4 separate regions of the Mus musculus genome follow, and regions 2, 3 and 4 are each reported to be linked to region 1. Evidence: microRNA targets listed by miRTarBase, many of them from high-throughput screens and not tested one by one. Region 1 holds a microRNA gene; each other region holds the end of a gene's coding sequence.
Evidence for each region. The annotated mature microRNA mmu-miR-466q reads GUGCACACACACACAUACGU and lies in region 1 at 3,589-3,608, opposite strand. An mRNA with a match to its seed (bases 2 to 7 or 8) in the 3' UTR can be bound and repressed. Matches are read on the target gene's strand: a 7mer-m8 pairs with bases 2 to 8, a 7mer-A1 pairs with bases 2 to 7 and ends in A, and an 8mer does both.

Region 1 (7,124 bases):
CTTATAGAACCCAAGACTACCAGCCCCGGGATGGTCCCACCCACAAGGGGCCTTTCCCCCTTGATCACTAATTGAGAAAATGCCTTACAGCTGGATCTCATGTAGGCACTTCCTCAACTGAAGCTCCTTTCTCTGTGATAACTCCAGCTGTGGCAAGTTGACACAAAACTAGCCAGTACACCTGGTCCTTATGTTATCAAACATTCTTTCCAGTTGTGTCTACTTTGCAAAATCTGATTCATGCTACGAAGTGCTCCTTCTCCTTTATAGATTATAAAGACATGGAAATAAAACGTAACAAAAGCAGAGGTGCTGACACCAACAAATACAAAATTCATAAAGTCAAAGAAAATTAACTTTGTATCATGTGACTCAAAGGTCATATTTCTATTAAAGCTAAGCAAGATAAAAATAACTTCCCTCATTTTTATTGCTCAATTGCAAAATAAATAGGTAGTTATGCTGGGAGAACTTTGACAGGGGAAATGGCCAACCACCTTGCTTTAACAGTGTGCAGTAATTTCTGACCTTCACCCCCAAATTCAAGATTCTATGTGAACCCCATACATGACATTGGTACCAACCACTTATGCAAATTATCTAGGGGGTGGCTGCTTGTCATAACTGTCATTTGACATTGTAAAATACACAGAAATATATAAGATATTCAAGTATCTGATATCAGTGTACACTGATCTTCATAAGCAAAAGTGCAAATTCTTCTTTTTCTCAATTTATAAAATACATAAAGGGTATATAACATTTCAAAATATCCATGTTACATAACTAAATGCTCACCCTTAAGGATGCATGGCATTACTGGATATAACCTCCAAATGTACAGCTTAGACCTGGGCACACATTTTTCGTCTCACACATTTTCCTCCTGATATCTCCAGTTTGTCAAGAACACAATTTCACGTTGTAAGAAATCATTCTGAAAGCTCTTGTGTATGGGTAAGTACCTACATGGTTTAACCTGAGCTTCCTGATGACATAAGAAAGGTACCACTCCTGGCCTACTTCCTCAGAAAAAGGGCAACACCTTCCTTTGCAGATGATGGGGAGTTAGGAAGACAGATTATGGCAAGGAAGAGCTTTCCAGTGTGTGGTGGGTATATACAGACAGCTGGGCAGGAAGCCCATCACTGGGTGATGACTGCCCTAACAGGGGGCTGGGGCAAGCTGCACCATGTGGGATCAAACTCTAGAGGGAGATGGAGGTGAGATGTGAATAGATGGAAACAAGGTGTTCTGCCTGGGATGTCTTCAGGAATGTGACATAATCCCAGATAGAAAAGAATTACGTAATATCAGGGAAATGTCTGCTGTTAGGTTTACAGATGCCAATGGCAAGACCACTTGACAGTGAGAATGTCGGAGTCCAGATGATGAGGCTAAGAAGGATGGAGGGAGCCATGAGCAAGCTCTAGTTGAGAAAGAGACCCAAGATGACACTAACAAATAGTAGATTCCCAGCAGAGGGAGCACAGTTAGCTAAAGCACGCATCGTTAACATAATGACTGGCTACATAGCACACACTATTCAGCTGCCATCCTTTCTCCATACCATAAAGGCATAGCTCGACCACATCAGAAAGCAAAAGCCACACAAGGCAGACAGCAACAGCTGAAAACCTGAGGAATTATTTGCCTGTCAGAAAGAATGTTATGTTTGGGAATCTGTGTGGAATTCTTTCTCTGGCTTCAAGATCACAGATCTGCAAGTGTGAGAGGCAAGTAAAACAAAAAAACGAGTTCTAGACCACCGAAGCGACAGCCTTTCATTTGGGTGACCAACAGTGAATCTCTTGAGCATCAGGACAAATTCTAAACAATGAAAATCCCCCCACGCAACCCCCCAAAAAACAATAACAACAACTTAGCATTTTAGAAGCAAAAGGTCTCATTCGTGTGGATTTTCATTAAAGAGTAAAAGAAAAGATCTAAAGCCACAGGAAACTGGAAAGACAAATCAATGGGGGAAATAAGCTCCTGGTGGTCAGGGTGAAGGTGCGTCCCAGCAACGCTGACTGAGCTTTTGCAAAGACAATGTTTGTGTGCTCTGCGTCCTAGTGGCCAGATGTCTTAGCCAATGGTGATGGGAACTGACTAGACCAATCCAGCAGGGCCAATCCAGAGGAGAGACTTGGCAGGAGACTTTGTGTTTTAAGGTGGCTCCTCCAGTGTGAATTTAGGGAAAATATTCAAAGGATCTGTGGCCACTCTCAGATGTTTGCTTTAAAGGGGGCACTTGTGGGGCTAGCAGGATGGCTCAGAATTAAAAGCACACACTGTTCCTACAGAAGACACTAATCTGGTTCCTAGCACCAGTATGATAGCTCAGCCCATCTGTAAATCTAGATAGACTGAGACTGACTCCCACCCACAGTCACCTAGCACACAAATGATGCACAGACATGTATGCAGGTAAAACAGCCATACACATGAAATAAAAATAAATACATCACATTAAAGGGAAAAAAGGGAGAGGAGAGAGAGAGAGAGAGAGGAGGGATGGTTGTCTCAAAAGAATTAAGACCATACTTAAACCACCCTTTACCTGTTTCCTAAGCTTATTCTGTCTTTCATTCTTTTCTGTTAATTGTATCGGGTGAGGGGCTAATGAGAGCTAGCTGTTACTAGCTGAGTGTGCTCTGCTGTCGTTTGGATGGGGTTTTCCCCATTGCAGCTCTGAGCAGAGCACCTGGTAGGCTCCTCGTCATATTTGCCCTAGCCAAGCAAGCCAGGAGCTCAAGGAAACACCTCTTAAGTGTTTCCCAGTTTGGAGGTTGCACACACATCCCATGTTTGGCTGCTATTATAGGCCAGAAGTTCCTAACACAGTTTGACTAAAATACATCCACTCTTTTCATTTGATGTAGATCTAACCTAACTTGTGCAAAAAATACTTATGCAAAGATACACAGTGATGGCAAATGAAATGCTTCTGTTGTTGTAGTTCTTCTTGTGCTCCTGCAGTACCAAATCTCGGCCACGAGCCACTTGTGAAATTCTGCCTTCTTCATTTCTAACCCTGTGAATAATGTCATTCATCCTGGAATGGAGTGATGGGTTACGGAAGGACAGATCAGCGTGACCTCTCTAGTGACTACAAGCCACTACAATTGTCCTCAGAGATGCCCGAGGTCCTCTGAGTCTCTGGAGCCCTTTTTATATATTAATACAATGACATCAAATGCTATTTTCGCTCTTGCCCCACAGTTGTACAGTGGAGTTTCCCAGAGGCTGCATGCCACAAGATGATGTCATCACTGCGGCTAATGGACATTGTGTTATGCATTAGTAATATTGTGCTTTAAAAAGTCCTTATTGTATTTAATGAAATCACATTTATTGGCACTATAATAAATGCTGGTAGACAATCCATCCAAACATACGGTTCTTGCACTCTTCAGTAGTATTAAGAATATAAAGCACACCTATAAGGCAGCTCAGAGGGTAAGGGTGCTTGCTGCCAAGCCTGACAACCTGAGATCAGTCTCTGGGCACTACTGGGTAAAGGAGAAAATTGACTCCTACGAGTTGTCCTATTATCTCCAGAGATGAGATATGGCATGCATGGGTACGTATGTGTGTGTGTGCACATATACTACACACACATACACACACACACACACACACACACACACACACTAAAGAGAAGGTAATAAGAATATAAAGGAGATTTTTAAAACTGTTTCAGGAGTAGAGGGGTCTTCCTAAGGTAGACTTTAGATAAATATGGTAGTGACTGCCTGTAATCTCAACACCCAGGATGTTAAGACAGGAGGACTGAGTTCAAGACCAGGCTAGACTAGAGACCCCTGTTTCAAGCATGGGAAGGAGTTAAAAATAAAGAATTTCACTAAATTCCTTCAGTTTTCTGCATGAAAATTTCTCAGCTCTTTTTTTTTTGCTCCACCCCACTGTTAAGCACTCTCTTGTGATATATACATTTAATACTTCAATAAAGTTTTATTTGCACCTATTGCAAACCCCACCTTACCCCCCAGATAGTAGTAAAGTCTACTAGTAGTATACCCATGTGGACTCAGCTGAGTAGAATCCAGATGCCACATTCTTCAGAAGGGTTTTCACAGCCCAGAGCAAAAAGTATCCAATTGTCTATTTTCTTCAAGGAATATACCGAGGCTTTCTGAAGCATTTATACTACCTAGTCACTTCGGATCCTACTCTGTTTCTCCAAATATGAATTTCATGTCAGCTTAAACCTAACATGGCTCTCAAACGCCAGTTTTCACCCACTACTTCCACTCATTAACATACTTGTGGTGAGCACCTAATAAAAAGAGAAATGGCAAACTCTAGTCACAAATATAAAACACAAAGCAAACTCGAGAAAAGTTTTTGTATATTTTTACAACTCGGGGAATTTTTCCTCACCCAAATCTAATTACCGGGAGCCTAGGAAGGAAAGTTCACATCATAATGTATGATGAGAAGCGTTTCCTCTAATTATACAAACATGATACAAATAGTTCTGTGCAAAGTGCTTCACTGGATAAATATTAGCATGCCATTATCATCGTTCACTGACTAATCTGGGCACTGGCACTTCTCTGCAGACTTCGTAAAAAACAAGGGAAGAGGAAACGAGGTCATGAGTGAGTCCTGCTGCACACAGGAGCACCCTATGTATCTCCATCTCAACTCTCTAATCAGATGAGAAGCATGCATGCTGCCCATGGCTTCTCGATGAAGATACTGATGCTCAGAAGAGGTCGGTACTTTGTTCAAGACTGAAAGAGAAAACTGAAGCTGGAGCCCATCCCATGCCTGTCTCTGTCTACTCTGGTGCCCGCTTTCCAGCAATCTTTTTTCTTAAGAACCCTCACCCGAGGAAGCATGTTCCAATACCAGTTGACCCAGAAATCAGAGTTGTGAAGGCTTCTTCTGGCGCTGTTTTGCAGCACTTGTGTGTTTTCAACAGGCATTCTTAGTGGACCAACAGAACAAACGATACTGCAGTTAGCAGTTGGCAGAGCACTGTGACAAATGATACACTCTTAAAAGAAATTAGAGAGCAGAATCTACAGTTAACATTGCTTTGTCTCGAGACCAGCTCCCCTGTACACCATTCTGATATGCAAAAGCCAAGCTGTGTATAATGTCCCTTGTATGTATATTTCCAGGGCTGTCCATTTGGTATTGGATAAGCAATTTCTCCTGTTCTCCGCATTTTGTAGGTCTTTGTGTAGGATGGAGGGCTTTCCACTGCCTACTTCAGCATGTCTAGTGTTGCCCTTGTTCAGCTCATGTTTAGATGTTATGGATATAGTTTCTAACTGAATAGGTTGTATTTATGTTTTTAGAGATATACCTACCTACCTACATACATACATACATTCCTAATATGTGTGTATGTGTGTAACAATAAATAATGATAAAAGAGGCGATGAGTTTGAAAGAGCACAAGGCATTGTGGGAGGGTTTGGAGGGAGGAAGGGGATAATGATGTAATTATATTATAATCTCAAAAAGAGGGTAATTTTTTTGAAATGCTTATATATATATATATATATATATATATATATATATATATATATATCCATGGGACATTCATGGGTCCAAGTCAAACTTCTGCACTCTGGGCTGTTGAGGAAGGGCAGGGTCTGCGACACCGACATGCATTTCTATGCCTAAACATAACTCCAGGTCAAATAATGGTAGGCATATCATTGTATATCTGTTATGACCAAACTGGAATTTTTGAAAAGTCTAGAAGGTGATGCATCAAAATGATGAGCCTCAAAAAATTAACTCTGGGCAGTATAATTTCCAACTACAAGATCTTTTTGTAATTGTCCTACTTGTTCCAAAATTATTAATATATAACATGGATAATTCATAAAAATGGAAATGACTGGACTCTATGTAACATATGGTTTTAATAATTTCACTGTCAGCCTGATAAGATAGCTCAGTAGATAAAGCATTTATGCATAAGGATCGGTGTGCAGACCTTCAAATCTACACAACAGCTTGGTAGGCATCGTGGCCACTTGTAATCCCAGCTCTAGAGAGGCCCAGACAGGGATTCCCAGGGCAAGCTGTCTAACTGGATTAGTGGATGGGCAAGTGTTAGATTTCATTGAGAAATGCCTCAGCAAACAGAGAACTGTCCAGGAAGATACTTCAGGTCTCCTACGCACAAAGACAAAGGTTTGTGTGTGCCAGTACACATCTACACATAGATACACACACAGAGGAAAGACAGAGGTTGTCTCAGGAGCATGGTAAACTTGATGACCCGAACAGCTGCTTGACAGATCCCTGACAACTGCAGTGACAGTAACAGTCACCTGCTCAAGCCACTCTGCACATGCTCATTGTGAACTGCCCTCTCCTTGGTAAGTATTCACAGCAGACTACTGAACAGAGTGCTTCTCACATTTTGTGTCAGCTGTCTTCTTTTAACAAGGGTCCCCCCCCCCCGATTCATTATGTATTTTAAATTTTCTAAAATATAACTACTAAATGTACTAATTTTCACATTTAAAAAAAAAGCCTAAGTCAGGTGATATGTTTTTGTAAAACCACTGCTAAGGAAGTAGAAACAGGTGGGTGAAGACATATGGTCAACTTATGACCACCACACATGTGCAAATAACTTATATGTGTGCCTGTGCCCCCCCACACACACACACATGCACAAACACATGAGTATAATTCACCACTCAATCCACCCATCCTCTATTGCTCCCTTGGAAGCTCCAAGCCGGTGCTTTTGTTCCATTTGTGTCTCCTGAGATTTGCTTAGTGAACCACCGAAGAGTTAAATGGGTACAGTTTGACATGTATAAAATGGGATGTAGACGCTGGAGAGATGCCTGGGTAACTCAAGCACTAGTTAGGCAAGTGTGAGGACCAGAACTAGGATTCCAGAACACACATAAATGCACATGGCAATCCAGCTGTCATTCCAGCCCAGGAAAGTGGAGATTCCCAGAGTAAGCTAGATAGAGTGCTCAAATCAGCGAGCTTCAGGTTTGATGCAGAGATCCTGCCTCAGTGGAACTGAGCTATGGAAGATGACCCCCAACACCAACCTCTATCATTCTCCTGCAATATACACATGCATATAGACACACATCAGTGTG
Region 2 (7,124 bases), not on the chromosome of region 1:
CTCTCTCTCCTGACCTCTGAGCCAGCCAGCCAACCAGGCCTACGGGGCATCCCACTCCCTGTGCTTGTGTTTCTCCAAGACAGGGTTTCTCTGTGTAGCCCAAGCTGGCCTGTGATCCACTCTGTGGAACAGGCTGGCCTTGAACTCAAGAAATCCACCTGCCTGTCTTCTGCTGGGATTAAAGGCGTGGGCTGCCACCACCACCTGGTGCCCTTTCCCCTTGAGTAGCCCTGGAACTTGGTTAAAAGATTAAATGAAGATTAAAATGGCCTTGAAGTCTGCTTTATCCCCTTTGTTAAGTTTTAAATCACACTATAAAACATCTCAATTTTCTTGCATGAATTCTCAGCTCAATGTCTTGTCTATCATTAGTTGCTTTCAGAGAGTGGTCTGGCTTTGAAGTGCTAAGTAACTTAGTTAATTAAATGAAGAGATACTTCTTGAAATCTTGTATCATTTAATTTTAATGACTAACAAATTTTGAGCTAATTTTTTCATCAGTAGCTACCTATAGACTAAGGAAGACTATAGACATGAGCTTAGAGGTATGGTTTGAATCTGAGCTTCATAGCTGCTTCCTCTCATCTGGGAATTAGCATCTCTCTTATAAACCAACTGTGTTTCATTCAAGTGGCTTTTGTATAGGGGCTGGAACACTCTAAGCACTGAGGATATTAACAGTTTGTCAGTGTCCCTCGGTAACCCAGTAGATACACATAATCAGTGGTCAGTCCCTTGTCACTGGAGTCATAGAGCCCAGTCTTGTGATGCCCTGTCACTGGATGGGTAACAGGCTGATACAATGTAACTATGGGAGATAATAAAAACAATTGATTCTCAGAGTCCTGGCATCCATGTCTGATGCCTCACATTTCAAGGGACTCCATACCGTCTCTCATTTCAGAGAGTGGGAGCATGGGTGCACACGTGAGCGCACATAATAAAAATGCTCCTTTAATTTCTTTAGAGGTCATTTCTTGGGAGGGGGTCATGCTGTTGCAGGAGTCAGCTGCCGCTTCATATAGGTCCTAGTGATCAAGTTTGGGTCATCAGGCTTGGCAAAGACCACCCTTCACCTACTGAGCCATCTCAATGTGTTTTCCCTCTAATGAGTGATTTGAAAATTGAAATCTTAACCCACCACTACTCCAAGCTGAGTCTCACATGCGCTTCTACTTAAGTACAGGTTTGGAATCTACCTTATCCATGACTGGGTGCTCAATGGCCTTCAGGTACACTAAAAATGTTTCCTTAGATTCCATTCACAAACCCTACGTCATGGCCACCAGTTCGGCAGTCTGGTGAGATGGAACGCAACGAGAATTACTTAATTACTCATTCTGTTTATTGAATCGACAGAAAGGGGATACAAAGGACTGGGCAAGTGCTGTGCACTGACATGGAAAAAGTGGAATTAAAATAAAATTTAAAAATCCCAGTAAAGCAAATCAAAGTTACTGTAATTTCAATAAAACAAAAAAAATTAAAGACATTTAATATACCACACATTTATAAAATAAATGTCAACCAAAAAGTGTCTTGTAAATAATTAGTAGAACAAGTGAAAATAAATATGAGACCTGAAGTTTTTATACTTTAATGAAATAATAAAACAAAGAAATTTAAACTACTAAACATAATCTGAGAGGCAAATAAAAAAGCAAACCCCATTAAGAACACAATCGTCTGGAAACATCAGTCCATAGTTAACTGTTACTCCATACCAAGAGCTCTGTGTTAGCTACATCACACCACAATGCCCTATCCCTTTCCATAGCTCAGAAACCTCCAGAGCAACACCCAGCGTCTTTACATGATCTCTACAGCTTGGTTTATAAGCACATACATGCTTTCGGGATCTCCCTCAGGAAAACACACACACACACACACACACACACACACACACACACACACACACACACATACACTCTCTCTCTCTCTCTCTCTCTCTCTCTCTCTCTCTCTGCCAATAACATTTACCCTCACTGAGCCTACAAATGTTATTTAATTCTAGCATGTTGATCCTGATAATGTAAATGTCTAAGTTAAAGATGGGACACAGTTTTAAGTTTTATAAAAATAGACAAGTATTAACCAAGCCTTAAACTCAAGAGAGGGTACTTTACATGTGCACAAGACATTCAGTAAAAATGACAACCTAAAAGTTGTTTCTAGAATATTTTAGGAATCAAGTTCTTTCTCAAACACTCAAACACACACACACACACACACACACACACACACACACACACACACAAAACACACACACACACACTCTTTTAACTTCATTAAATCCAGGCAATCTGGATTAAGTAGATAGGGGATGGGCTTTTACAGCTTGTTTTTGCAACTCTAGGGCAGCGACTATAACAATAACTCAACACTGCAAAGTTTAGGTTAATTTCACCCTGTTTTTAGAAAGTGTCTAAGTGTAAATGCAAATTCACCCTTTAAGTTAGCAGTTTATGTGAAATCAGGTATGGTTTTGGAAATGGTGGGAATGCTTTGGCCAGCAACACAAAGGGAGAGTTGGTGATGTCTAAATGAGACATCAAAGTAAAATTAAGTAAAAATATATTTTTTTAAAATGGGAACAACTAAGACAATGTATCTCCTCTCCTCCCATTCTTCTGCTGTAAAGTAAACGACATAGGCATTGCCCCCGTTCAAGAGATGTGCAAGACGTGTACCCAAGGGAGGCAGAGGGTCAGTTCTTGTTTGCAGGAACCAACATCCTAGAAAAGAAAATTTCAAGATGGGGAGGGGTGGGAAAGGATTTTCTATTAATGCCACAGGACGCCCCTTAAGGCAGACTGCTCCTCATCAACTGCTCTTGCGGAATTACTGCTTCTGTTTGCCTAGCAGGTCCACTTAATTACTTATAGTCGGAGAATTCTAGTTTTTGTTCTCCTACCCAATAAAATGAGCCAATTTAAGGGGACATTTGCAAGTAAAATGCCCTGTTTTTACTACTTACCTGGGTTACCAGGACATTTAACTGGCCAGGAAGAGCAATGCCACACAGCTGGCACGAATACTAATGGAATTCAAACCCCAAGTGTGAAGCTTCGTCATCTCCCCTAACTCCCATGCTAATTCTTTTGATCACCACCCACAAACCAACCTCAGTGACCCCCCCCCCAAATCCAACACTTTACCACTAATAACCAGTTAATTTAGAGGAAAAAGACATTTAATTCCATTCTTACTCTAGCCCTTAATCGATGCATTAACAACAGAAACATTTTAAGCACATGGAATTGAGCCTACTAACCTGATTTTTGGAGCCAAAATTCTCCACTATTTTGATCTATGTGCAAAAAGTATTGGTACTTTTCAGTTTATACATTGGTTAGCATCTTGTGGCAGGCTTGACAGAATTCTCTTAAGCCTTTATCGAGTTTATCACAATGTCAGAGATTTTCACGTAATCCTGTCACCAGGTTCTTCCACCATAAACCCTAGCTTTCTTCACCTTTCTACCACACTCACTTCATGGCAAATATACGAAACAGATGCTTACAGCAAATTGGCACAGTCAAGTACCAGTCTAGAGAGGGAGCGGCCAGTTAAGACAGACTTGGAAACCGAACTCACCTAGCTACTATCAACACCTTTGCATAGTTGTAACTCCACTCTAACAGGAGTTATGTTCTGGTCATGGCCCTCACCTTCGGGGCACGCTCTTACCTCCCAGTGTTTTTAAATGTACTTCAGAAGCAGTGAACAGGCGGGTCTAGGTGCAGCTGGATACAAAACTGCCCTGATGGGTACAGCCCTCAGGGAGCATCATGCACATGCCACGTGGTACACTGTAACCACATCTGTAAACAGCTGTGGAGTTCTGTGCCCACATGGTGTTAGGGATTGTTACTGTAGACTGAGGTGTATGGATTAATGGCTTCAGGGTATATCAATCAAAAGATGGTCTTAACTGCACTGAGGTAAAGAGGAGTTGCCACTTAATTATATACAGTTATGAATGAAAATTTTTATTCAAGCTTAAAGTGAAAAGTAATTTTAGTCAAGAAAATGAAGTACCAGATAAACGGTAACATATTATTTTAACTAAGAAGTATCAAAACAGGATTTCTCTGATTTTCTAAAGTGATGGTCTCTGAAAAATGAAGCTTAAAGGAATCTTTTCCATTACCCATTTGAATTACTAATCTGCTGACTCCGATCTGTCACCTCCTTACGATGGGTGGACTTTGGGAGAATGACCACTGCCTTCCTGGCTTTTCCCTCCCTGCGACCCCCACAATGGGAAGACCCCTCAGTACAAGCCTCTCTCTTCTCTCAGGATCCCGAGGGGCATATGATCATGGTGAATGCTATGGACTTGGCTTGGCCTCAAGGGCAAGTTGTACCAGATTTTTGTTGTTGTTGTTCATCAGGATACATTGGAGTTAATTCCACTTTTCCTTCCAAGAGCTGTGGTCACCCTGGTTATCTCCTATTGGAAAACATGGATTTCAAGGGAGACTGGTTAGACCCAGCAATTATGGAGTTGAAAACACCATGAACATCAATCAGGCTTATGTTAGATATAGGGTCTTCAAAATGACAAGTCACTTTTTTTCCATAAAGGAAACATTCCCGTAAACTAAAAGGGGAGGGAGAGGGAAAGACTGTCCACAGCACCAGTTTGAATGAGGTTCATTATGGCAACATCTGAGAAGCTGAGAAGGAATCTTCTTTAAATGAGTGTCCCTATATGTTGGACATTAAGGGCAATTAGGAGAAATGACTCAGGCTTTAATTCCAGTTTACATAAATGTTTGTAGCCTGCTGACTTCCTCTAAGATTTAACTACACTATAAATTCCCAAAGTAGGTCTATCTTCTGATGTCTACTTCTGCTAGATCACATCAAAACGATTCCCTCAAGTTCAGAGAACTTGGAACAAGCTTTCTTGAAAACCTAGACTGATGCTGATCTTCTGTACTGGTTTATTTATAAAATTTTCCTTTTGAATCTTGAATTTCTTCAGTATCAGGTACTGATGTCCCTTCAGGAATAAAATAAAAAGGGGAAAGTATCTCTCTGGCTTTCCTGTGCCGTGTCCTTCTGAACACTGTTTCTGACCATGCCATGTCTCACGTGGCACTCCAGAAGAGCATCAGTTACACTGCATATCTCAGTCACAGAGGACACTGTTTTTAAGCTGGTTTAGATTCCAAATGTATACAAATGAAGTCACTTTAATCCTATAAATACTTCTTAATTTATTTTTAAAAAATTGTGCTGTTAACCCTTTTACGGGGCAACAACTATGTGAAAAGTACAAAACTTTTTGTCAAATGTAATATTGAGAGTGCTTTTGACATAGTTCACTGGTTTATCATCTGATCAGCATATACTGCGCAACGGGCAAGGCTAGAATCCATGAACCAAGCTGCAAAGATCTCACGCTAAATAAGGCGGAAAGATTTGGAGAAACGAAAGGAAATTCTTTCCTGTCCAATGTATACTCTTCAGACTAATGACCTCTTCCTATCAAGCCTTCTAAACTGTTAAATAAAGTTTCCAAACAAGCATTTGAACTTCATTACACAGAAGAGCAACAAGAATGGTGTCCCACCAGACAAAAGGCAGGAGGGAAAAAATATATATACTGAGTTCAATGGGTAAGCCTGAATGTAGCACAGTTCTTCACAACCGATGGGGAATAATTCAACATGGTGTCCAACAACGTTCTAGACGCGCTTCATCAACTGGTTACTAGGAAGCAAGGTGTAAATGTTTGGCCCCAATCGGGCTTCAAAATGGTTCTTTTTTTTTTTTTTTCATGACGAGCATGTCTGTCCAGCTATCAATCATGTTTGTTTGCACCAAATCCCAAGCCATTAAAATACGACTAATTTTAAGTTAAACAGAAGTCGTCTGCTCCAAATTTGCCATCAACTATCCATGCTACTGCATTCCTCTGAATGAAGACCGGATGAAATGTGCAGGGAAAAAGAGAGAAAAAGATACCAGTTAGAAAGTTTCAAAATCAGCATCAAGAACAGTAGACTTAAGTAACAATGAACAAATTATTGATACTTTCATAACCACTGAACAACAGTTGTCTCTCCCAGTTTCTAGGTGATACATTAAATTGTAACCTTGTGACTATGCTGAATAAGGGACAAAGGGAATGAGTAATTAGAATTTCCCATTTCTACATTGTCACTGGGGGGAAGGGGTCGGGTTGAGACAGAGTCTCTCTGTGTAGCTTTGACTGTCCTGGCACTCACTAGGTAGACCAGGATTGTCTTGAACTTCAAGAGATCTACCTGCCTCTGCCTCCTGAGTGCTAGGGATTAAAGGCATGCATAATTATGCCCGATTTCCTATTTTTAAGATTAAGCTTGAAATAGATAATTAGAATAAGAAGATTTTTGCTAGTTTATAACAAAAAGGATGGAAAGAAAACTCTGGTAGTATGAGGGAGGCAGAGCTGCACATTCCAACTGTGTCCTCAACTCCTTCAGCTGCTCCAAGTCGACCATACCATGCAGCTCCATTTGGGAAAAGTGTACGTATGACGTTTCTTTTTTTGTTTTTGTTTTTCGAGACAGGGTTTCTCTGTGTAGCCCTGGCTGTCCTGGAACTTACTTTGTAGACCAGGCTGGCCTTGAACTCAGAAATCCGCCTGCCTCTGCCTCCCGAGTGTGGGATTAAAGGCGTGCGCCACCACGCCCGGCACGCATGCCGTTTCTTACAGTACAGTTCCCATAGAGTAAGATAAGCTCCTCTAGAATATCACGATTCAGAGTACTCACAGCTGGTGTAGCACCAGTCTACACCTTTAGACCAGCTTCTCAATCTAGGAGCAAGCACACAGTCTCATAAAAATAAGAACCACTCCTCTGGTCTGGGGATTAGTCAATTTTATACTACTTCAATATAAAATGCAATCACACCACGTGCTATGTCTGGTATATTTTTGTTTCTAGTATGTTCCATTCAGCCTATTGATTTCTAGGTTAGTGCCCCTTCTTCTGTTCATAGCATGATTAACTACTTCATCCTATTCCATTTTATATCCCCTAAGTACACAAACAAAAATCAGAAGTCACCAGTTTTGTAACTTAACACAAAAGATCAGCAACTTCTCTTTTAAGAAAAAAAAAAGT
Region 3 (7,124 bases), not on the chromosome of region 1:
ATTCTAAATGAGATATTTGCATGAACATAATGCTGAGGTGGATTTCTCCTTGTCTTGTCTAGAAAATCATGAAGAGACTCATTAAAAGATATGTATTGCAGGCCCAGATTGATAAGGAGAGCGATGAGGTGAATGAAGGTGAGTTGACCATAAGGAAAAAGCTTTCCAGTATGAGTTAAGGCTGTGTGCAGATGTGGCGGTAAGAGAGAGAGAGGGAGAGCTGGGCATGCAGTAGATGAGCCTCAGGAAGCCATAGAGAATAAGCTCTCTCTGACTGTGTTAGTAGCTTTTCCCACTGCTGAAGCAGCCTGCCCTACAAAGCAATGAAAGGAAAAGAGGATTTATTCTGTTTCACTGTTTAAGGGGACAGTCCACCATGTTGGAGAAGTAGAGTGAAAGTGGACAGCCCACTGTGCTGATGGGAGGGACGGGAGGCAGCTCTTATACTATGTCTGCAGAACAAAATGAGTGGCTGTGTTGGGCTCACGCTCTCTTTTGTCCCATTAGAACTCTTGCCAAGAGTCTGGCGCAGCCCACAGGTTAGATGAATCTTCCCATGGCACTTAGACATAAATCCCTTACTAGTCCAGATGCTAGTCAGTCTCCAAAAGATCCTAGATCTTGTCAAGTAATAATCAATATTTGCTGTGATCACATCCATCAAAGGTACAAAACGGTAGGGCAGAAGCTCTTTGTCCAGAGACTGCATGGTCTAGATGAAACATTGTAATTTTTATGGGGTCTTGTTGGAGGTGTCTGGGAAAGGCGAGCTGTGCTACCACAACTCTCCAAGTCTCCAGATAACTAAAATTTTGCTGTAATTAATTTTCTTCCCTGAGTAAAATAGAAAGGTTTTTTTCTGATTGGGAAGCTTTTCCTTTGAAAAGATTCTGAATATGGTCAGGATTGTCTTTATTCTAACCTGGAATCATTGGTTCACACTTCATATTCATAGAAAACTTCATCTGTTATTTATAGTTAACTTCTTTTTATTCTTCCTCTTCACAGGGGAATTGAAGGAAATTAAGCAAGACATCTCAAGTCTCCGTTATGAACTCCTTGAAGAGAAATCACAGAACACAGAAGACCTAGCAGAGCTCATTAGAAAACTCGGGGAGAGACTGTCGTTAGAGCCAAAGCTGGAGGAAAGCCGCAGATAGAGCAGAGCCCCTCAGAAGTGCATATTTATTTCTCCACTTGAAGCCATATTATTTTCTGACTTATTTTTTTAAGTGTCAATGATAAAAAGTATGTTAACTGATAACTTGGATCATTTAGAGTCCTAATATCAACTTTTTGGGTGATTAAATTGCATTGCTGAGGCTAACAATTGCTGATAATGCTGAACAGCCTGCTCATTTCCTTGGAGCTTGTTTTCTGGATAGCTTTCTTGGGTAGGGGGAGGGTAACTCTTGTGCTGGTGTGAATGCCCCTCCTGTCTGCTCGGTAATGGGCCTCAGATGGCCTAGGGTATGTTTAAGCTGTTCCCTGTGCTCCTGTTGTTCCCTGACAAAGTGAGTTGCAGCATCTCGTTTCACCAGGGACTTCCTACCCTAGAATATAGAAGAAAATCATTTAGAGTGTGCTGTAACCACCATCTAGGTACTCAAAATAATTGATACTGCCTGGTCCAACTTGCTTTAGAGCCTTGTGTGGTAGCAAACTTCTGTTAGATCAGCACTTGGCAGTTAGAGAAAGGTCTGGAACTTAAGGTCCACCTTGGCTACATGGTAAGATTCTCTGGGCTACATGAGACCATGTCTAAAAATCAAAACAAAATAAGCCTATACCTGTGTTCAATTTTCTGCCACACCTGTTTAAAAACACTTAACAATGAAAATGGTTTTCCTGGATAGGGAACATGGGAACATGGGAACATGGTGTGTGTGTGTGTGTGTGTGTGTGTGTGTGTGTGTGTGTGTGTGTAGCGTGTAGCATGGAATATTAAAAAGCAATTCATGCTACCACCTGCATTGCATTGGTGGGCAGACCTGCCTGTTCTCATCTTGGCAGACTCGCTGATCTGGAGGTCCTAAATCTGTCCAACTGGCTCACTAAGTTCCCATGGCTGGTTGTTACCACACCAGCCCCATACTTCCAGGTTCCCAAGATTTTGGGAGTACACTTCTTACAAACCCACGCTTTGCCTCTGTACCTTTCTCTCTGGAACCCAGTTGAGCACCACATGAAGGAAAACACCACCCAAACTTAGTTTAGAACCAACAGTTAACACAATTGTTGGGTGCAGCAACTAGCATTCTAATTTGTAAGCCATTCTAAGTTAATTCTCAGGTAGCAGATCCCAACATATTTTCCACCTGACCTGAGAGGCTCTGCTTTCTACATTTTGGCCTCCATGCTCCTCTGCTGTCCCCCAAACCAAGACCCTCTCCTCTTCTGCCATCCCTTTCTCTGATCCAGAAATCCCACCTACATGCCCAGTGACTGGTTCCTTGAAATCTTTATTCATTAGGGGAAGGCTCACAAGAAGTCACCGGAGTAGTGATTCACTCCTCATCCCAGGCAGCCCCTCCTGGGGAAGCGGAATTAGTATCAAAATGTGAATAGTACCAGGGCTATCCAGTGTGTGTGTGTGTGTGTGTGTGTGTGTGTGTGTGTGCATGTTCTCATACATATGTATATATGTGCATGCACGTTTATGTAAGTCTGTGTGTGCATACGCACATACTACATGTTTGTCTTCTTTTGTAACTAATATGAATCCTCAAAACTTATTTATTATGACTTTTTAAATTGTACCTAAAAGTTACTACTCAATAAGAACGCTTTTATTACAGTTGTGTCAAAGTCCCAAACACTGTAATTCTTTGGTTCCTTGACAGCACAATTTTGTGCCATTTCTGAGCAATTTACAGACAAACTCCCACATCCAATTCCCTGTGATATTTGCAAGCACTGATCTTGCTGGAGGAAGTGAATCACTGGAAAGCAGAGCACAGAGTTCATTGGTCTGTCCTTATTAGTGTTCCTTGTTTCTTGGTCAAATATGATGTGATGGATCCAACAACATAGCATGGTATTCTTGCCATGATGGAATTATACTCCTCAAGCCGTGAGCTAAAATTAATCCTTCCTCCCTGAAGCTGCTTCTTGTCTGGTGTTTAGACACAGGAACAAGAAACTAGCTCATCTTCTAGGCCTATGGATGAAACTGCTAGAACCTAAATTGGAATGAGACATCACACGTTTGGGAGAAAGGATTACTGAGCATGTACCTTGTGCCAGCCTCTCACACCCATTTTCTACCAAAGTTTCATTTCTGTTGCTGTTTCAAAAACAGAGCGCAACTTATGGGGTGTTAGGTTTATTTTAGTTCACAATTCCAGGTCATAGTCCATTACAGCAGAAAAGTCAATACTGTAGGAACTGGAGTCAGCTCATCATAGGAAGAGCAGAGAGACATGCGTGCATGCATGGGTCCTATTCAGCTTGCTTTCTCTAGTCATACAGTCTAGGACCCAAACCCAGAGAATGGTGCCACCTACAGTAGTCTGGGTCTGCCCTCATTAATAAACATAATTAAAATAATCTATCATAAAAATGTTCATAGGCTAGTCTGGCCCATAGGCAATTGTCCATAGGCAATTCCTCATTGAGAGTCCCTTCCAAGATGATTCAAGACTGTCAATTTGACAATACCACCACATCCATTATCTAACTTACTCAGACACCATGCTTATGAAAACCATATACTTATTTTGGAAATAAGACAAACACCAAGTTTTTAAAATATAAATAACTTGTGAATAGAAATGCCAGGGTCAAGAGTGAAGCACAGCTCCCTCACCATTATTGCTACTCTCCACTGGCTAGAGGTGGAGTCTCATACTGTGTTTAATCTTTCAATAAGAAACTTTGGTCTGTACCCAGCACTCAAGGTTCCATTGAAGCAGACCACAGCCTCTGATGAGGAAGGCTCTTATCAATAGAAGATCTGCTTCCAAGTGGATGTAGGTACAGGGGAGAAAGAAATTTTTTGTTACTCACACATTTTTTTAACTGAATCTCTTATAACAAAACACAGACAAACATACAGGTTTATGTAGTACTAACCTTCTGTGACATTGAGCCTTCAGCAATAAATACTCACAGAATATATAAACTTACATATTTTGCTTTGTTTGATGAAAAGCAGACAATCATGAACAAATATTTAGATAGATGGTTAATGAGACTCATAGTTTCAGTCTCATTACATATGTATTTATATGTATGTGCTTGTGCCTGTGTGTCTGTGTACTATGTGGGTGTGTACATGCACCTATGTGTGTTCCTGTGTATACATGCAAATGAGTGCATGCATGTGTTCAAATGATTACTTGACTTTTTCTTTTTTTTAAGTAGGTATTTTCTTCATTTACATTTCCAATGCTATCCCAAAAGTCCCCCACACCCACCCACCCCCACTCCCCTACCCATCCACTCCTACTTCTTGGCCCTGGATTTCCCCTGTACTGAGACATATAAAGTTTGCAAGACCAATGGGCCTCTCTTTCCAATGATGGCTGACTAGGGCATCTTCTGATACATAATGCAGCTAGAGACACCAGCTCTAGGAGGTATTGGTTAGTTCTTACTGTTGTTCCACCTACAGGGTTGCAGACCCCCTTAGCACCTTGGGTACTTTCTCTAGCTCCTCCACTGGGGGCCCTGTGATCCATCCAATAGCTGACTGTGAGCATTCACTTCTGTGTTTGCTAGGCCCCAGTATAGCCTCACAAGAGACAGCTATATCTGGGTCCTTTCAGCAAAATCTTGCTAGTGTATGCAATGGTTTCAGCATTTGGAGGCTGATTATGGGATGGATCCCCGGGTATGGCAGTCTCTAGATGGTCCATCCTTTCATCTCAGCTCCAAACTTTGTCTCTGTAACTCCTTCCATGGGTGTTTTGTTCCCATTTCTAAGAAGGGGCAAAGTGTCCACACTTTGGTCTTCGTTCTTCTTGAGTTTCATGTGTTTTGGAAATGGAATCTTTTATCTCGGGTATTCTAAGTTTCTGGGCAAATATCCACTTATCAGTGAGTACATATCAGGTGAGTTCTTTTGTGATTGGGTTACCTCACACAGGATGGTGACCTCCAGGCAAATGGACCTCCAGATCCATTTGCCTAGGAATTTCATGAATTCATTCTTTTTAATAGCTGAGTAGTACTCCATTTTGTAAATGTACCACATTTTCTGTATCCATTCCTCTGTTGAGGGGCATCTGGGCTCTTTCCAGCTTCTGGCTATTATAAATAAGACTGCTATGAACATAGTGGAGCATGTGTCCTTATTACCGGTTGGAACATCTTCTGGATATATGCCCAAAAGAGGTATTGTGGAATCCTCTGGTAGTTCTATGCTCAGTTTCTGAGGAACCACAAGACTGATTTCCAGAGTAGCTGTACAAGCTTGCAATCCCACCAACAATGGAGGAGTGTTCCTCTTTCTCCACATCCTCGCCAGCACCTGAATTTTTGATCTTCGACATTCTGACTGGTGTGAAGTGGAATCTCAGAGTTGCTTTGATTTGCATTTCCCTGATGATTAAGGGTGCTGAACATGTTTTCAGGTGCTTCTCAGCCATTCAGTATTCCTCAGGTAAGAATTCTTTGTTTAGCTCTGTGCCCCATTTTTAATGGGGTTATTTGATTTTTCTGGAGTTCACCATCTTGAATTCTTTATATATATTGGATATTAGTCCCCTATCTGACTTAGGATAGGTAAAGATCCTTTCCAATCTGTTGGTGGCCTTTTTGTCTTATTGACAGTGTCTTTTGCCTTACAGAAGCTTTGCAATTTTTTGAGGTCCCATTTGTAAATTCTCGATCTTACAGCACAAGCCATTACTGTTCTATTCAGGAATTTTTCCTCTGTGCCCATATCTTCAAGGCTTTTCCCCACTTTCTCCTCTATAAATTTACTGTCTCTGGTTTTATGTGGATATCCTTGATCCACTTAGATTTGACCTTAGTACAAGGAGATAGGAATGGATCAATTCGAATTCTTCTACATGATAACCATCAGTTTTGCCAGCACCATTTGTTGAAAATGCTGTCTTTTTTTTCCCTAAATGGTTTTAGCTCCCTTGTCAAAGATCAAGTGACCATACGTGTGTGGGTTCATTTCTGGGTCTTCAGTTCTATTCCATTGGTCTACTTGTCTGTTGCTATGCAGTTTTTTTTTTTTTTATCACAATTGCTCTGTAGTACAGGTTAGGCATGGTGATTCCACCAGAGGTTCTTTTATTATTGAGAAGAGTTTTTGCCATCCTAGGTTTTTTGTTATTCCAGATGAATTTGCAGATTGCCCTTTCTAATTCATTGAAGAATTGTGTTGGAATTTTGATGGGGATTGCATTGAATCTGTAGATTGCTTTTGGCAAATAGCCATTTTTACTATATTGATCCTGCCCATCCATGAGCATGGGAGATCTTTCCATCTTCTGAGATCTCCTTTAATTTCTTTCTTCAGAGACTTGAAGTTCTTATCATACAGATCTTTCACTTCCTTAGTTAGAGTCACGCCAAGGTATTTTATATTATTTGTGACTATTGGGAAGGGTGTTCTTTCCTTAATTTCTTTCTCAGCCTGTTTATCCTTTGTGTACAGAAAGGCCATTGACTTGTTTGAGTTAATTTTATATCCAGATACTTAACTGAAACTGTTTATCAGGTTAAGGAGTTCTCTGGTAGAATTTTTAGGGTCAGTTATATATACACTATCATATCATCTGCAAAAAGTGATATTTTGACTTTTTCTTTCCAAATTGTATCCCCTTGATCACCTTTGGTTGTCGAATTGCTCTGAGTAGGACTTCAAATACTATATTGAATAGGTATGGAGAAAGTGGGCAGCATTGTCTACCCCAGTGATGAAGGTGGGGTGTTGAAGACTCCCACTATTATTGTGTGAGGTGCAATGTGTGCTTTGAGCTTTACTAAAGTTTCTTTAATGAATGTGGCTGCCCTTGCATTTGGAGCATAGATATTCAGAATTGAGAGTTCCTCTTGGAGGATTTTACGTTTGATGAGTATGAAATGCCCCTCCTTGTCTTTTTTGATAACTTTGGGTTGGAAGTCGATTTTATTAGATATTAGAATGTCTACTCCAGCTTCTT
Region 4 (7,124 bases), not on the chromosome of region 1:
GCCTGAGACGCCCGCAGGGGGTCCGGTGCACGCAGTCACCGTGGTGACCTTGCTGGAGAAATTGGCCACCATGCTGGAGGCTCTGCGGGAGCGGCAAGGCGGCCTGGCTGAGAGGCAGGGCGGCCTGGCGGGCTCCGTGCGTCGCATACAGAGTGGCCTGGGTGCGCTGAGTCGCAGCCACGACACCACCAGCAACACACTGACGCAGCTGCTGGCCAAGGCGGAGCGCGTGGGCTCGCACGCCGACGCAGCCCAGGAGCGGGCCGTGCGTCGCGCTGCTCAGGTGCAGCGGTTGGAGGCCAACCACGGGCTGCTGGTGGCGCGCGGGAAGCTGCACGTCCTGCTCTTCAAGGTCAGTGACCTCAGGCATCCCTCTCCCGCCCCCAACCCTCGCCTCTAGGTTACCACCGAGGGAAGGACTCCTGCCACCCACCCGTCCGCATCTCCACATTCCTGACCCAGCGTGCTGCCCTCACTTGTGGAAGACTCTCAGAGCCGCACCCACTTTCTCACAACAGCGACCTTATCCCTTTCTCACTCCCAGCCTGGCCAACCCACGCCCTCCCTAACTCAGGCCAGTCTGCGGATTTGGTCAGTCGCACCCACATGGAACTAACTGTTAGGTGTTACTCTGCCTCCTCCAAGCGCCTATACAGCTGTTACACTCTACACGGTTTCATCCACTTTGCAAACTTGCAAGGTCCACTTTCCCCCTCTTTGCTCATCTCTCTGCTCCTCCATCCTCCCCATCCCCCATCTTCCCATTCCTCTATTTTGGCCCCAATTCCTAGTGCAGATGCAAAGGGTGGAGTAGCTTCCCTTGGCGGGCGGGCAAGAGAGTTTCAGGCTGGTCCTGGCTAAGTGCCAGGGTCAAATCAGAGAATCAAAAGCTGTGTCATCACATTTAGGAGGAGACTGAAATTCCAGCCCGCGCCTTCCAGAAAGTCCCAGAGCTCTTGGGTCCGGAGGACCAGTTGGTGCTGGGCCCAGATCAGCCAGAGGATGAAGTTGGAGAGAGTTCTGAAGAGGAGCCAGTGGAGTCCAGGGCTCAGCGGCTGCGCCGCACTGGTTTACAGAAAGTTCAAAGCCTGAAAAGGGCTCTTTCCAGTCGTAAAGCAGCACAGCCCACACCAGTCAAGCCGCCACGCGTAGGGCCTGTCCGGAGCTCTGAAGGCCCATCAGAAGGCCAGCCTGCAGCTCAGCCTGAAATGGAGTCCGAGCTCGAGACTGCCCTGGAGCCAGAACCTCCTCAACCTACCAAGGAAGATCCTGAGAAACCCGTGCTTCAAATAGAGAGCGCAGCCTGATCCCTGGGGCTGCCTGTCCCATTCGGTGCTTAAGCCTTGTCCCAAAATAAGTACTTATAGAGTGCAGCACTTACATCCAAATAAGGAGAGAATCCTGCATCCACTGCCCAGCTCCAAAGCTTCCTTCCTGGCTTTCCAGTCTGAACCCTGTGTCCTCTGACAGAGGAGCTTTCAGCCTAATTTAGGTTCACCACCAATAAAAGCAATTTTCTCTAACCCAGACTCAATGAGAAAGGGCGAGCGACAATGCGCATGGCTTGGGGAAGGAATGGGCTGAATGACAAACGTTCTCACTTTTCACCGAATCCTGGGTCCTCCATTGGCACGGAGAAATATTGGCCACTTACTGCTTAAATACATTCCTCTTGGGGACACATAAGTACAACTTTGGGGCCCGGCCTGGGGCGGGGCAGTATGCAGTTCTTTGAAGAAAACGCCCTAGTTAATGTCAGCTAATGCACTCTTCCTACTTCTGGTGTCTGACACTCACAGACAGCTCACACCATTGGGTTGGGGTGCATTTAGAAAGCAATCCAAAAACAGCCCTTGGTCTACTTTCCTTCTGCCAACAAAACAAAACAAAGCACACAAAGCACTCATTGTTTTCAAAACCAAATGAGTAATCTGATAGGTTGAGAGAATCCAGGCCTCCTAGAATCGAGCATCTCTCACAATGAGTGTGACGAACTGACTGTGTCTTCATGTCAATGCATAAAATAAAAAAAAAATAGGACCTCCATGTTTTTTAGATCTTGTTAGGGTTTGAATCTGAAAGGTTCCCTGAAGGCTCATTGTTGGGAGCTTGCTAGCTTTCTGTGTGTGTGTATGTGTGTGTGTGTGTGTTAGAATGGCTTGTGATCTAATCAATGGAGTATGCCCTTGATTTATCCATAGTATGTCAGTCTTATTGGGAGACAGAGAAAAGAAGGAGGTTAGACTTAGTTGGAGAAAGCAGACAGATGGATGCTATGCCTGCTGCCACAATCTGCCTCATTTCAGGCCAAAAGCCGGCACCCATTTTAAAAATTTAAAAACCAATCTTCTCAGTAGTTAGTATAGCATGCAGAATTAATTTCCCACTTGATGCATAATAGAGAAACTGCAGTGTTAATTCCCCGTTGAGGGGACATGTCATGTCAGTCTCATGGACTTTCAAATATTCTGGAATGTTTGATGTTCACCACCATTTATGTGGGCACTCCCATATCCAGCACAAGCGCAGTCATCATAAATACCAGTGGGCACGGTGTGTGTGTGTGTGTGTGTGTGTGTGTGTGTGTGATGGATTAGCTACTACCTTCTTAGGAAAGGGGTCTGCGTGTAAGCCCAGCTGCTTGAAGTCGGCCAAGCTTCTCACTCCTTGGCCAGGTAGGGCAGAAGCACAGCTGGTTGCTCATGATGTCTTACTACGGGTGTACAGATAGCAGCTGGCCCACACATCTGGTGGAGCTGCTATGGGTGCTGTGACTAGATCTGAGGAATGGCTGAGACACCAGTGGGTACTTCTGGGCCAGATGGCACACACAGAAGACGTGCATGTGATTGGGAGACAACCTGCTCTCTTATGTCACTTAAGGGACAGAAGTTGCCCAGTGACTCTGGAAGTTTGTTTTTTATCATATTAAACAAACAAACAGAAGCATTGTATCTCTGCATATGTGTGGAGGTTATAGGACAACTTTTCCTGGTTGCTCTCTTTTCCCGCTGTGGGAACTGAACTCGGATCACCAGGTTTATGCACACACACATTCCTACCCCTGGGGCCATCCTTGGCCCTTTATTTTCTAATTTAAAACATTCTTTTTAGGTTTATTTTCTGTGTTCTGCCTGCATGTATGTATGTGCACCACATGTATGCCTAATGCCCACAGAAGCCAGAAGAGAGCACTGGGACTTCTGGAACTGAGTGACAGATAGTTGTGAGCTAGGAACTGAACCCAGGTCCTCTGCAAGAGCAATGGATGTCCTTAACTGCTGAACCATCTCTCCAGCTCCTATATTCTTTTATAGCTTTTGAATAAGCTCCATTCAAAACCAACAGTCATCTATTGAGTGCCTACTATGTGGCAGGCCCTGCTGAGTATGATTCAGAATTAAAGTTAAGCTTTCTGGTTGGATAAACGATTCTGTCGCTCCCTCACACAAGGAAGCAATGATCATGGACTTGACTCCCCGTTCACATTCTTATCTGTAGCCCTTTTAGGCAGTCTTTCACGGGACCAGGGTTAGACTGCCTGCCATATCCTGCCAGTCTCCCGATTCACCCCCTTATTGTCTCTTATCACCTTCACAATAGAGCTAAAGCTTCCCACTGTCCCTGAAGACCTCTTGTGAGTTGGTTCCTTCTGTCTCTTGCTGGGTGTCCTCACGCAAGACGGTCTCTGGTTAAAAACTCCGAGCACTGAAATGATGTCACAAGTGGGAGATCACACCTCACCTCATGTGACAGGTCACTATGGGAATGCTGTTGCACCAAATGTTTTATACAGAAATTCCCTTCAAGCTATGCTTATGAACTGCATGAAAACACAAGCATGTGGGCTCAGGGTCCAGCCCCAAGAGCTCTCATTGTACTGAAACTATGTTGTCGTGTTGAGCTACGTGATCTAAATCTCATCTCCTAGAAAACTCAGCAAGGCACACCTGTTTCAGGGTCCAGAGCACTACTTGCTCAGTCCTCAATGCTCTATGACCTGGTCGTGGTTGTGGTTGCTACCTCACCCCACTCTGCCAGACTGACAACTGCACTGGAGGAAGTTCCACTCATTGTTTTTGTGCTGCTGGTGCTCCTTCTGACCACATGGTGTCACTATTGGGGTACCAGTGTCCTAGCTGCTGCTTCATCCAACATTCCACAACTCTGTCAGCTTGGTTTGACTTTCCAGAAAGGGAACAGTTGATTCACTTGACTTTGTTGGTCTGGGGCACAGGGGGAAATTGGAGGCTCCTCCTGCAGGCTCCCAAACCTTAGCATTCACACCACACCACACCACACCACACCACACCACACCACACCACACCACACCAGGTTGCTGCCTTTACTTTCAGAAATCTGCCACTCACAGGGACAGGAAAAATAAAGCCTCGACTTTTCAAATCCCTAGGAATCCACCTGACTTCTCTCTTTTAACTCAAAACAAAAGGAAGGCCTTAGAAGAATATTTTGTACCCAAAAGGTCTAGGTTCTTAATTTCCAGAAATTTCTAGAAACCCAAAGACTTGGCGAACTTCCAAGAAGGTAGAATGTTAGTTTTCATTTTTTCCTAATTGGTCTACAGTAGCAAATAATTGAATCAAATGAAAACAAAATTAGCTCTGTTTCTTAATAGGCCACTTGGTTACATTATGTTCTCAATTGTCACAGTTACAGTAATTGCTAATGAGGTTATAGATGCAAAGGCAGAGAGGCACAGGCCGAGCACCAGCTGCCCCACAGTGCAGCACAGACAGACACAGCTGCTGTAAGCAGGTGGACACACACCGATGGACCACTAAATTTCAGAGGTTGGCTCTCAGATCTTTAGGCCAGAAATGGAGATGTATTTGCTGATGCAGCATGATTCAGCTGAAATAGCGAAGTTCAAGAAAGATTGGTGAACTCTACTGCTAGATTCATTAATGTCCTTAAGCAATCTAACTGCCGAGTAAGCCAGAGAGAACATTTTTCATCTTGCCACAGAGCCTACGAGAGACGTCAGACAGATCATAGAGCATATAAAGATAATAAGTAAGGTGACCGAGCCTGTTTTCTGATGGGATATTTCTTCTACAGCAATAAAGAATACATGCGCTCATGGTGAGGAATTTCTCCCCTGAGTAAATACAGGAAATCCTTTGGGCTTTTCTTTCTTGTAAGTAGAGGACTCATAACCCCAGTCCTGAAGACCCCTCAAGGTCATTGTGTCCACTAGAGTGTCTTGCTCAGTCTTGTCTATTTTTATCTGGTCTGTGTTTGAGAAAGCCCGGAGTCCAGGAGCTCACTATCTTCCTCCCATCAACTCTCTTTTTAGACAACGTAACTGACAGCAGTGGTTAGTTTTCTGTCAACCTGACCCAGGTAGAATCTTCTGGAAAGAGAGAACCTTAATTGAGATTGACCTCCAGGCAGGTCAGTGGGGTCACTTTCTTGATTAATGATTGATGTGGGAGGACCTATCTTAGCGTGGGCAATGTCACCTCTGGGTAATTAGTCCTGGGTTGTTTAATATGGTGACCTGCAAGCTATAATTGAAGGTACTCTAGCCAGCTTGGGCCTGGCAAACATGGCTCTGGCAGACCTTGACCTTCTTTTGCATCACCTCTGCCTTGCTAAAAGCTGTTAGATTACATCCCTAAAGCTAGTCACCAAGGTATATGCCTTTATTTGGTCACTTCCTCCTCCTGAGACTGCCGAGCAAAGCCCAGCTGTCAAAGTATTGGAGTCCAGCAATCAAAAGCCCCTCTTTGGCTCACCTAATTGACATGCCCAATCAAGATACACCACTGAATCCTAGCCCATTCGAACGCAGACCTCCCCTTTTTCTCTTCTTAAAAACTACACCTGCAAGGTCGTTTGTTGCTGTTTTTCTGCCTGGGGTAGAAAGCAGCGACATTAACTTTTCTTCCTCGATTAATAGAGGGTTTCTCTGTGAAAACAGGTGTTTGGGTGTGGTTTCTACTTAATCAGTGTGTGTGTGTGTGTGTGTGTGTGTGTGTGTGTGTGTGTGTGTGGTGTGTGTGGTGTGTGTGGTGTGTGTGTGTGTGTGTGTGTGTGTGTGTGTGTGGTGTGTGTGTGTGTGTGTGTGGTGTGTGTGTGTGGTGTGTGTGTGTGTGTGTGTGTGTGTGGTGTGTGTGTGTGTGTGTGTGTGTGTGTGTGTGTGTGCGCGCGCGCGCATGCGTGCGCTTGTGTTTCTTTAACAGTATAGTAAACCCTTTCCTCCTTAGGTGGCTTTTGGTCACAGTGTTTATCACAGCAATAGTAAGCACACTAGGGCAGTGACTGAAGCATTTCCTATCTCCTGAGGTCAGAATCTCTTACTATGATTCCCGTCCGTGGCAGTTGCTTCTCCTCCTGGGATATGTTGGAGGAGGCCTACTATATATAGCAGGGTACACCGGGCTGAGTCATCTAGGACTTCCCCAATCTCTCCTCAGCCCAGTCATTATTTGTCCTTGTTTTGTGTTCTTTTAAGCCTTGGCTTTTTCCTGTGGATTGTTTTAACAAACATGTTTTAAACTGGTAGGTGTCCAGCTGCCATCGGAGCATAGCTTTCATATTCAAAGACATCTGGGCTTCATGGCTGGCAATTGCCAATTTTCTTTACCAGGTCTGTTATGAGAATTAAAAAAAAAGACTGTTTAACTTGGGGTGAGGATAGCACGCTGGTGGATCATTTGCTCAGCATGAGGTGCTAGATTCAATTCCTAGTACTGGGAAAAAAAATACTGTTCTTTTGATATTTGTGGCTTCTTGGGAGGTTAAGGCAAGAAAATTACTGAGTTAAAGGGCATGAGAGCCTACAAGACCCTGTCTGGAAAAGCCCCCTTCCTGAAAAGGATGAGGCCTTTATGGAGTTCACATGAACCTTGCCTTTGTAACAGAAGTTGCTGTACTTGAGAGTCGGGGCTTCCCTATGTAGTCCAGCCTGTCCCTGAGTTCTCAGTTCTCCTGCATAGACTCCTGAGTGGCACCATGCCCACCTTGTAATACAGTTTGGAGTTAAGTGCTCTGTTCCATCAGGGGTGGCCATTACAGGGAAAGCCTCTTAAGGCCTTCAGCAGTCTTCATGCCAACCTGACTTCCTTTTCTAGTTGCTGACTCTTGTTGAATTACTCCTT

Region 2: miRTarBase lists Wdr26 as a target of mmu-miR-466q. The part of its 3' UTR that is shown has no 7-base or 8-base seed match.
Region 3: miRTarBase lists Trpc6 as a target of mmu-miR-466q. The part of its 3' UTR that is shown has no 7-base or 8-base seed match.
Region 4: the mRNA of Cavin3 is a reported target of mmu-miR-466q. The part of its 3' UTR that is shown has no 7-base or 8-base seed match.

Annotation. Positions count from the first base shown.
Region 1 is chr3:28,416,472-28,423,595 of GRCm38, reverse strand. It overlaps Mir466q (microRNA 466q), which reads right to left and starts at 3,653; the gene lies at 3,578-3,653. The region is part of intron 2 of Tnik (TRAF2 and NCK interacting kinase); the gene reads right to left.
Region 2 is chr1:181,171,903-181,179,026 of GRCm38, forward strand. Wdr26 (WD repeat domain 26) reads right to left here. Exons shown (of 14, transcript NM_145514.5): 14 at 1,324-5,929. The coding sequence ends at 5,904. Among named protein-coding and RNA genes, the nearest start is that of Cnih4, 25 kb to the left of the region's middle.
Region 3 is chr9:8,679,406-8,686,529 of GRCm38, forward strand. Trpc6 (transient receptor potential cation channel, subfamily C, member 6) reads left to right here. Exons shown (of 13, transcript NM_013838.2): 12 at 63-138; 13 at 1,009-1,336. The coding sequence ends at 1,160. The region is part of intron 4 of Gm32014 (predicted gene, 32014); the gene reads right to left. Among named protein-coding and RNA genes, the nearest start is that of Gm32014, 58 kb to the right of the region's middle.
Region 4 is chr7:105,475,004-105,482,127 of GRCm38, reverse strand. Cavin3 (caveolae associated 3) reads left to right here. Exons shown (of 2, transcript NM_028444.1): 1 at 1-352; 2 at 909-1,512. The coding sequence ends at 1,307. Among named protein-coding and RNA genes, the nearest start is that of Cavin3, 3.6 kb to the left of the region's middle.